3 linked regions of the Saccharomyces cerevisiae S288C genome follow. The gene in region 2 interacts genetically with the main gene of each other region. Each region holds a gene or a part of one and is shown on either strand. Other genes may lie near its edges.

Region 1 (4,015 bases), on a different chromosome or scaffold from region 2:
TTAAAATCAATACAAAACTTGAACAATAGCGACGGTGAAGAACCTTATATTGACGATGAATTGTATTTCACTAAGTCTTTGAAGGATATTGACTCTTTAATAAAGCAAGTTGGTGTTAAGTTAGATAGATAGTCTTCAATATTTGTGTATGGCGTAATGATTTTTTAGAATAATACTTGGCATTTAGCACGCCACTTTTAGCGCGAAAACACCAAAAAAGTAAAGAAAATAATGTCGATCAATCTTTAAAGAGAGACAATTGAATGGTAGTGTAACAATTTACAACATAATAGAGTATCGCATTCAGCAAAAGTAAAGAATAAATTCTAAGAAAATGGCTCAAGCCTTGAACTCCACCAATATTGCTTTTTTCAGAGTAGCATTTTTATTCACGATCGCCTTCTTTTGTTTAAAGAACGTTAATTCTATTTTGCAAAATACATATTTCATAGTCTTAACGCAAGCGATGAATTTACCGCAGTTAACACTGTCACGTTATAGTGGTCAATTGGGTCTTTTCGCTCTTCTGTTTACTCTTAACGGTGTTCATGATCTAATTCCCCTGTTAGAAAACAATGTTAAATACTTCCAATCTGTTGTGCCAGTTAGATTACTAATTTTTTTTATTTTGACAAGTATCTCGTACCTTTGGGAGTCAAACTTTTACGTTCACAATAACTCTGTTTTTATTTACTGTTTTGCAGAAGTTTGGATAAATTTTCTTTTGTATAATGCCATTAGGGAGGAGAAAAATGAAGAGTTCAAAAGATTGAACCAATTCATGGTTAATGATGAGGATATTGAAGAACCCCAACCATTTACCGTGAAGACTGAAACCACAGAAATCATTGAAATAATCAATGATGAAGAAAATGACGATGAAGATGGGAAAGATAATGATGATAACAATGAGAAAGGTAATGATGATAGCGATGCAAAAAAATAAAATGTTTAATCGTTTATTTTTTCTTTCCTTTATTCTTATAGTAGATACCTGTGTATGTATGTAGATATAGACATAACGAAGCTGAATTTAACGGTACATGCTAATATGTGTACTCTATAGATTAGTTTTTCTTCTTTTCACTAACATAGTCTAGAGCGGTCAATCTTTCAGCTAGAGTTGGATGGGAATAATGATAGCTAGAATACAGAGGATCTACATTCATGGTGGAAAGGTTTTTGATTTGTAGATCAATTAGAGCCCTACATAGATTTTGCTTGTAGCCCAATTTTTTAGCATAAGCATCAGCTTGATATTCATGAGTTCTGGAAATTAAACTCATCACGAATTGCATGGCACATTCGAGTGGAGTTAATAAGTCGTTAAATAACATAAATCCAATGATAATGGGGAATTCCTTAGTGATAACGGGATCAACAAAACTGCCAGTGGACTTCTCTAAGAAAAAGCCGAAGGTGTTGTAAAATGATGTATTTCTGTAGATGCTGGTGAAAAGGGAGAAAATGAGGAAGGTGTGCAATTGACTAAAGATGACCATATTAACGATGTGGTTTTTTTGCCAGTGACCGATTTCATGGGCCAAAACAGCCGTAATTTCATCAGTAGAATTACTGTTCACTAAAGTGTCGAACAAAACAATTCTCTTGGAGGTGAATGGCAAACCTGTGAAATATGCGTTTGAATGAGAAGATCTTTTTGAGCCGTCAATGACAAAAATCTTATCTAGAGGGAACCCAACTCTATCGGCCAAACTTTCAATAGATTTTTTCAGTTCACCGTCCTCCAATGGAGTGAACTTATTAAACATGGGCATGATGAAGACTGGAATGATTGTCATGGCTAAGATTTGGACAACGAACAAGAAGACCATAATGTACCAAAGGAAATCAGTAGGGAATTTATCAAAGATCTTAAGGAACAGGTAAAGGATTGGGCCACCAATAGCATACGCCAAAGTCAGACTCTTGATCATATCGGTGATCCATAGTTGGACGGTCAATTTATTGAAACCAAATTTTTCTTCCAGGACAAAATGGCTATAGTAAGAGAGTGGCAAATCAACCAAGGTAGACAAACTGGATAAGAGACCCAAGAAGCATAAACTCTGTGCGACAGTGGAGACCATATGAAATCTGACTGGCAGGACTGCATTCAATAAAGAAACGGCCATGTGCCAGATTTTAGGGAAGAGGTCGTATTTGATGAAAACTAGCTTTTGGGCTAGGTTATAGACGTCACCGAAAATGGAGAACTTGGCCTTGGCCCGGGAGTAGTTCCTTGATTTATGAAAAGTTTCATCATCAATTTCGTCTTCCAGCACAGGTGGCAACTTTGTTTCAGATAGCTTCTGGTACTGTCTGTACGTCAAGTAAGATTCGAAAGAAAATTGGGCAATCGAGAACCCAGAAATGATTAATTTCCACGGGATATTAGGATGGTCGAGAATCGTCTTAAGATCAAACATGAATAAAGGCCTGCAGTTTTCTATTTCCTCCTTTTTTTTCCTTCCTTTTCCTGTTAATTATAGAAGTGGTTTATAATTCGCGAACTTTTTCTCTTGTTCGTTGTCTTTTTTTTTTTATTTCCCGTCGATTTTTTTCTGGAGAAAATGGCAGAACAGAGACGAAGGAATTAGAGTTTTTGAGTAAATGACGTAGAAAAAGAGGGAAAAGTTTAATTGCCTCTTTTTGGTTAATAGGAATGAATATACAAGTTTACATATATGTATATTTGTATGTATGTATGTAGATGTATGTGTGTGTGTGTGTAAGGCGTTTCGTTGTTGAAGATAGAAAAAAAGGTAGGTTTAGTCTAGCTTCGACGTTGGGGCTGGTTTTGCAAGTTTCTTGGCGATTCTAATCATCTTCTTGAACCAAAGCACGTTCAAAAGGTTCATGAAAATGTTCAGCGACATCATCGTGACAGCAGAAAACTTGGGTAACTCGTCTCTTACCTTCCACATCTGCCTGAATAAGAGAGCGGATGCGATGGAGCCCCAGCAAATCCTGACGACGAAAAACACAGTCATGAGCAAAAGGCCATTGACGACATTAAACCACAGAGGGATAGAGTTCTTGCTCTTGGCGTTACATTGCATGATGAACCAATTGATGTTCACAAAGGGAGTGGAGGCCTCGTAGATAAGGAACCTGCCGATCCAGGGTTGGCAGAACGGTCTTAAGGACAACAGCATCACATATACGGAGCCAATGGCGTGGCCCGTGAACTCGAGACCATAAAGCTTGAAGTAACGCACGCACATAGTCAAGTCCCAGATAAAGTACCCTGCGCTGAGGGAAGATACCATTGAACTGTACGAATCTGTGTAGGTGACAACATTATAATGCATTGGCGTCGTGAGGGTGGGCAACAGGACGGTGTTCGAGACGACAGCCTGGATCATCGAGACGGTGTGGACATTGAAATCAATTTTCAGCAGTGGGTCACGGATCGTGGTGTAGTGCTTGCGAAAGACCACTTTATTCAAGAACGGTGCGACAACGGAGAATGCGAGCTGGTAGAAGACGAAGCTGAAGATGATCTCATGCAAATGAGCCAGTATTAAATTAGACGAATGAGGGAAGAAGGACAGCTTTTCGAAGGGGCTGGTGAGGCCGATTGCTGTCGTGGTAGAGTTGGCGTTCATTGCGGCAAGAGCGATAGCTTAAAAATATTGTTTTTTTTTTCTCTTTTATTAAACTATGTTTTATACTGTTATGTTGCGTTGAGTTATGTCAAAATATTATGTTGCCTTGTATGTTTTTGGACCCGACAAAAACACAGGCTGAAAAGAAACACGTATGTATGTATATGTATATAAACATATGTGTGCATATATAAGTGCACGTATAGAAATAATATGCGATAAAAGTCTATTGTTCCTGGCTCATAAAACCTAGGAACTGAACGAGTTTTTTTCTTTGGTGATTCTGGCGTGATTCAACATTCGTATGCGATGACGGGCAGATCCGCGTCGTAAAAATGTTCTTAAGAAAGGAAAAGGGGAAAATGCATGCTAATCACATAATGCTAATGGGCCGGATGTTATTA
Region 2 (3,032 bases):
TCATCAGAGCCCAACGCTTCATCAGAGTTCAACTCCTCATCTTCAAACGACTCAGAATCGATATCATCTTCATCACTGTTAGTGTCACCTTTTGACCTTTTTAACAAGTTGACAACTGTACCATTACGACGAGCATCATGTCTTTTGTCATTGTCGCTGGAGTTATCGAATTCACCATTAATTTCTCTCTCAGCAAGTTGCAAAGCATCCAAAACTCTTCTAGAACTCTTGGATCTGCTCTTAGATTTCTTTTTTGCCATATTTAAGTTAGCTTATTTTGTCTTGAAGCCTCTTTTATTAGTATATAACAAGATGTTATTGAATGCACACTTAATGAATTTTTTCAGCTCATCGCCATAGGAATTTGAAAAATTTTCAATGGCCTTTTCCGGAAAACTACAAAGTGACGATAAATAAAAAATTACGTTGCATATAGATAAACGTATATCAGATGGCTACAAATGAGATATGAAAAATCGTAGGAAAAGCAAAAGAGTTACCTAGGCTGTAGACGACTCCTTTTTTTGTTGCTGCTGTTGTTGTTTACTCATCGCTTCATGCTGTCTAATAGCGGCTTGTCTTATTTGGGCCTCGATGGACAAGGAATACTGGGTCTTTTCCTTAATAATATCTTGGATCTGTACAGATTCTTTGTTAAGCTTGTCTACTTTCTTTTGGTAAAATGCGATTGCTGCTTCAGCGCTCTTTTCAACGTAATATCCTGTACCAATGTCGACCATGAATTTCTTATTGTCTACAATCTTACCTGGGATGTATAATGATGCAGATGCTGGAACCAGTAGTTTTTGCCCTTCATTTCCTGCTTGGGAGACTGTTTTAATATCATCAATACATTCTGTGAACTTGCCCTTAGCCATGGTTAATGCTTGCAAGGACTGTGTGAAATGCTGCAATTCTTGGTCGAATTGCTGTTTTACAGCATTCAGCTGCTCGGGATTTAGTTTAGTTAAATCGACTAAGTTTCGAACATGTAGTAACTTAAAAGTTAGTAAAGTGTCTGTACGGTGGCAACAACGAAGGAGCTATTCATTTACATACTTTTTTGAGAGGACATGGCTTGATTTTTACAGTGCTCTTTCTTGTTTGGGTCACAGCAAGATTTTCATCTAAGACACTTTTCTATTTAAAATCGTTAGAACAAAAAAGAAAATTGTAACTTATGAGACAGCCACGCAACACAAAAAAGGGCATAAACAAAGTTGGTTATCCTAGAAGATGAACAATACTGATCCTACTTCATTTGAAAGTATATTGGCTGGTGTGGCCAAATTGAGAAAGGAAAAGAGTGGTGCAGATACTACTGGATCTCAATCGTTAGAAATAGATGCATCAAAACTCCAGCAGCAGGAACCGCAAACATCAAGACGCATAAATTCAAACCAGGTCATAAACGCCTTCAATCAGCAAAAACCGGAAGAATGGACCGACTCAAAGGCTACAGATGACTATAATCGAAAGAGACCCTTCAGGAGTACTCGACCGGGAAAAACTGTACTAGTGAACACTACCCAAAAAGAAAATCCACTCCTGAACCACTTAAAGAGCACCAATTGGAGATATGTATCTTCAACAGGAATTAATATGATATACTACGACTATCTAGTTCGTGGAAGAAGTGTACTGTTCTTAACTTTGACTTATCACAAATTATATGTCGATTATATCTCTAGGAGAATGCAGCCCTTATCTAGAAACGAAAATAATATACTGATATTCATAGTAGACGATAACAACTCTGAAGATACCCTTAATGACATTACAAAACTATGTATGTTCAACGGATTTACTCTACTTTTAGCATTTAATTTTGAACAAGCTGCAAAATATATTGAATATTTGAATTTATGAACAATTCCTATTTTCTTTTAATAAATCTGTTCCATGCTTATTACCATCCTTTGTCATTTTAGCGCTTTTAGCACCGAATTGAATGGCCCTTTTTGGTTCTGATGATATTCCATCCAACTTCAAATACTGCGAGGCAACTTTTCGAAGGATTAATTTGTTAACCTTGAAATTAATGGGAATTTCTGCTGTAGATAACTTTATAACATATTCATCTAAAAATGGGTATCTCACCTCCACGCCATTATGAGCTATCACTTTATCATCACGATTCAGGTTGCGATCATAAATGTTGTTTATTTGCCTTGTAAGTTCCTCCACAAGTTCATGGGGTGGTTTGTTGGCAAACTTGTGATATCCACCGTAGAGTTCGTCTGCTCCCAGTCCGCTGAATAACACTATCCCATGGCGCTGATATGGCGTTCTTTCCCCATTCAGAGAAGTTAAGAAACCTCTACCTCTCGACGCAAAAAAAAAAGCAATGGCTATAGACAAGTCCATTTCAGTCTGTTTAGGATACATTAAATTGATAACAAATGGCTTCCATTTTAAATACTCATCATAAGGAACGTCAACTTCAACCAGTTTGATATCAACATTAGGATATAAGTTTTGTAAAGTCTTTGCACTGTTAATGGACAGTTTTCTATCAGGTGTATCACTGGGAAAAAGACCAGTCCTGGGGTTTTCGAAGGATACATTTAGAAGCTCTATAACTGGTTTTCCACATTTATAATCATTTTCTTGCAACACCTCGCAGATCAACGCTACTATTACTGAACAATCAATTCCTCCTGAGAATAGTACCGCAATAGGAGAGTTTTCAATATGCCTGGGATGTATGGACTCTACCCTTTTTTTTACAGAATCACGTAGCACAGCATATAAATTTTTAGACACCTCTGACAATGATGTGAAATTCAGATCTATCTCTGATGTCACTTCGTATGGAAGATGTGACCTCTGATTGGAATTTAACAACTTAGTTCGTGTATCATATTCATAAATAACTCCACCTATACAATCTTGAAAGGACCCAGCAGACCCCGTTACACTAGCGACGTACAATTCGTTGTCTGGAGTGACCGAATAAGACAAACTTCGCCTGCCAATTGGATCTCTGCCGAAATAGAGTTTGGATGAGTTCACGTCATATATAGTATAAG
Region 3 (4,130 bases), on a different chromosome or scaffold from region 2:
GGGGAAGCCCATATGGAGAATTTTAAAAGCAATAGGGTGCTCGCTTCCAAGCAAATTAGTACTTTTTTTTTTTTTTTAGCAGGAGAATAAAGCTTCAAGCTAATGCACTAGAGTTCGAGGTGCATCATTTCAGTTTTTTTTGCTAGGGCATAATTGATCAGCCTGTTAAACTCATTGCATAGTCAGTAAATTTACAATCCCCGAAAATAATGGTTCCCTTAAATAAGCGAGTTAAGGACTTTTTTTTTTTTTTACAGCAGTAGACCAACCTGTACATGTTTCATAGTCAAGTAATAGCCTGACGAATATCAAACGTTTCCTCTTTTTCATTCCTTTCCTTCAAATGCCTTGGGTTGAAAGGATAGACGTGTATTTAATGCAAGCTCTATCTATAATGAGTGTTATTACAATTGTTATGCTTCTGCATTGAGCGATGAATAAATATAAACAACTCCTTTTCGAACAACTTGTAATTATCCTACGCTTTTGCCTGAGGTCCTTTTTAGCCATTGACAACAAGCAAGTGTCTTTCTGTATGAAGTAAACCCTGCATAAAGTTGTTTTTTGCTGCGTCAGAGGGTTAATGACTTCGAAAGACCCTTTTCTCATATAAGACGCGCCACAGAAGAATGCGCACGACAACGGACTATTTTAGATTATATAATGGCGCGTGTGATGCTGCTTTAATCATGTTGCATAGACCATGCAATTACACTAAAAATATAAAACAAGGAGCCCTGGACAGAACTTGGTAGTGTGCAAACGAGTAAGTGAAGATGATAGTACATTATATACGAAGCTCTTAGTAAGCTCATACTAGATGCGAAACGATGGATACGTCAGAAAAATAACAAAAATAAAATATAATCATTAATGATGTTTTAACTCGACAAGCCCCTTTCAGAGCTGCCATTACCCTAAGAACCTTGCAAAGAGAATAAACTTGAATTTCGTAAAGTGCCACGAACAGTGTCCATATTCTTACACGAGATATTCTGTGAAGAGTTATTGCATAAATACGGAAGAACTAAATACTAGAAATAATCCCAAGCTAGAATATAAACGTCTCACATACCTAAAGCCACTCCTTCGTATTGGCTAGACGTATTTACATACAGAGCATCGTCACTTCTATTTGGATCCTTGTCATTGAAGTATTCGTCCACATGCATCAACAACCAAACCAAGAAGTCTTCGGTTTGTTTGATTAAAAGCTGACAGCTTTGTAGATCCATTGTAGTAGACGAGATCAGCTCTGGTAAAACACTTATCAACCTTAACAGATGGATAGCCCCATAAATTCTAATTGGTACTAGTGGCTTTTGATCCTTCGATGATTTTTTCAGAAGTTCGTCATATTGCAGCCGTTCCAACCTATATAAAAGCATATTACCCAGGCACTTGTCAAAATACAACTTGAGACCGGCACAGTATTCGCTCAACTGTGACTGGGACCCTGGCGATTCCAATTCTTGACTCACTTCATGTTCGTATTTATTCAGTACCATCTCTACCGTCACATCAGCGGGTAGTCTGCAAATTTTTTTGTCCTTCGTTACGTATTCCCAATCGTCGACTAACACGCTCTTCAATTTTATGGGAATTTGAAGGGAAATCTTGGGGGTTGGATAGCCGGCAATATGATGTAGCATATTTGGCGATAGCGAAGAAGATCTTCTGCGGTCATCATTCCCATTTTGGTCGGATGACGAGCGCAAAGAGCTGCCAGGATGGAGGGAATTAGCGGAACTTCTTCCGCTTTTCCTGCCGCTCACTGAAGATGTTAAAAAACTCTGTGAAGTGCTCTTACTTATACTAGCATTCGAGCGGCTGTCTCCCTTTCTTTTTCCACCATTACTAGGCCCTCCCAGACTAGTGGAGAGCTTCTTTTTTTTCTGCTGTTCCAGTAACGATTTCTTAGCTTCTTTCGCCTCGTTCGCCAGTCTTTTTTTCATGGCAATATTCTCTTCATTGTAGGCCCGTATCCTATCATATCCAACCCACTCATCCCAACTCGACTTCCAGCCTTGGTAATGTATGAAAAAACACTTCCCATTAATGATCTCTTCTGGAATGCTTTCATCTTCTCCCAGCTTTTGTGGCTTTATTTCCTTAGTTGCTTGTGAACTACCACCTGGCTTGTCATTAGGAATGCTGGTATACATTTTCGAAGATGGATCCCATATTTTCAAGATCTTTGCTTCATACATAAGAGGACCATGGAATGCCAGACACCGCCCACCGAGCGCAAATTCCTGCTCCAAATCAACCATTATACGTTCTTCAATAGGGTAAATCCAGTGACGAGGCCTCACAGATGCTAATGCAAAATGCTATATGCTTTTAACGACTGTTTTGCAATATACCCTTTTACGTTTCTGGTCGGGATTTCGGATGCATCTTTATTTTCATCTTTCGTGAAATGCGATATGTGGCGATCGCCGGAGGAACGGCCCCCAATCTTCGCCACCTTTTTCTATCAGCATCGGTTGGTTAGTAATCTCGAATCACATGGTACCTCTTTCTTCGAGGAGTGGTAGCTCCTGTACGCTGTAGCGGTAGTGAAAAGGCAATATATCGGAGTTGGTGAAGTGAGTTAAATCTCTACCTTGCGTTTTTGATAAGTAAAAAGCAAGCACAGCTTAAAGGATAAACAGGATTTTATTGAAGCAATTTTTAATTATAATACATTGTGGATAGAACGAAAACAGAGACGTGATAGATGAACGTTTCAAAAATACTTGTGTCGCCCACGGTCACGACAAATGTTTTACGCATATTTGCTCCCAGGCTACCTCAAATCGGTGCTTCTTTGTTAGTTCAAAAAAAATGGGCCTTAAGATCAAAGAAGTTCTACCGTTTTTATTCTGAAAAGAATAGCGGTGAAATGCCTCCTAAGAAGGAAGCTGATAGCTCTGGAAAGGCATCCAATAAATCCACGATATCTTCAATCGACAATTCGCAACCACCACCTCCATCGAACACTAATGATAAAACCAAACAAGCGAACGTAGCTGTGTCACATGCTATGCTAGCAACTAGAGAACAAGAGGCCAATAAAGACTTAACGAGTCCTGATGCACAAGCAGCCTTTTACAAACTTCTCTTACAATCAAACTACCCGCAATACGTGGTCTCTAGGTTTGAGACCCCCGGTATTGCGTCATCGCCTGAATGCATGGAACTGTACATGGAGGCCCTGCAGAGGATAGGCAGACACTCGGAGGCTGATGCCGTTAGACAAAACCTACTGACAGCCAGCTCTGCTGGCGCAGTTAACCCATCATTGGCGTCATCTTCATCAAACCAGTCAGGTTATCATGGTAACTTTCCATCGATGTATTCTCCGCTTTATGGATCTCGCAAAGAGCCACTACATGTTGTCGTATCTGAATCAACTTTTACTGTTGTATCGAGATGGGTAAAGTGGCTGCTTGTTTTCGGTATCTTAACCTACTCTTTTTCTGAAGGTTTTAAATACATCACAGAAAATACAACGCTACTAAAGTCGTCAGAAGTAGCCGACAAATCAGTTGATGTAGCTAAGACAAATGTTAAATTTGATGATGTCTGCGGTTGTGATGAGGCCCGTGCGGAATTGGAAGAAATTGTTGATTTCCTGAAAGATCCAACTAAGTACGAGTCCTTGGGTGGTAAACTACCAAAGGGTGTACTGTTGACTGGACCTCCTGGTACAGGTAAAACTTTGTTGGCTAGGGCCACTGCCGGAGAGGCTGGTGTAGATTTTTTCTTTATGTCAGGTTCTGAATTTGATGAAGTTTACGTCGGTGTTGGTGCTAAACGTATCCGTGATTTGTTTGCTCAAGCGCGTTCTCGTGCACCAGCTATTATTTTTATTGATGAATTAGATGCCATCGGTGGTAAGCGTAATCCAAAGGACCAAGCTTACGCCAAACAAACGTTGAATCAGTTATTGGTCGAATTAGATGGTTTCTCACAAACAAGTGGAATTATTATTATTGGTGCCACAAATTTCCCTGAGGCTTTAGATAAGGCGTTAACTAGACCAGGTAGATTTGATAAGGTTGTGAATGTGGATTTGCCAGATGTTCGTGGTCGTGCTGATATTTTAAAGCATCACATGAAGAAGATTACATTGGCAGACAATG

Evidence for each region.
Region 1: mutations in GIM5 (region 2) and STE24 together harm fitness more than expected from each alone (negative genetic interaction), as found in Saccharomyces cerevisiae (5 studies listed by BioGRID, with this or other methods).
Region 3: mutations in GIM5 (region 2) and EAF3 together harm fitness more than expected from each alone (negative genetic interaction), as found in Saccharomyces cerevisiae (6 studies listed by BioGRID, with this or other methods).

What each region holds. Positions count from the first base shown.
Region 1 is NC_001142.9:640,421-644,435, reverse strand, and holds STE24 (zinc metalloprotease), read right to left. Parts: upstream 2,430-4,015; coding exon 1,068-2,429; downstream 1-1,067. Other genes in the region: JHD2 (histone demethylase), read left to right, coding at 1-132; ILM1 (Ilm1p), read left to right, coding at 335-946; TDA4 (Tda4p), read right to left, coding at 2,772-3,611; YJR115W (uncharacterized protein), read right to left, coding at 3,985-4,015. UniProt on the Saccharomyces cerevisiae protein: Proteolytically removes the C-terminal three residues of farnesylated A-factor mating pheromone. Also acts to cleave the N-terminal extension of the pheromone. Does not act on Ras.
Region 2 is NC_001145.3:80,318-83,349, reverse strand, and holds GIM5 (Gim5p), read right to left. Parts: upstream 1,076-3,032; coding exon 1,060-1,075; intron 977-1,059; coding exon 501-976; downstream 1-500. Other genes in the region: UTP14 (Utp14p), read right to left, coding at 1-260; DNA repair protein RAD10, read left to right, coding at 1,237-1,869; YML096W (putative asparagine synthase), read right to left, coding at 1,864-3,032.
Region 3 is NC_001148.4:607,759-611,888, forward strand, and holds EAF3 (Eaf3p), read right to left. Parts: upstream 2,274-4,130; coding exon 1,068-2,273; downstream 1-1,067. Other genes in the region: i-AAA protease YME1, read left to right, coding at 2,723-4,130. UniProt on the Saccharomyces cerevisiae protein: Component of the NuA4 histone acetyltransferase complex which is involved in transcriptional activation of selected genes principally by acetylation of nucleosomal histone H4 and H2A. The NuA4 complex is also involved in DNA repair.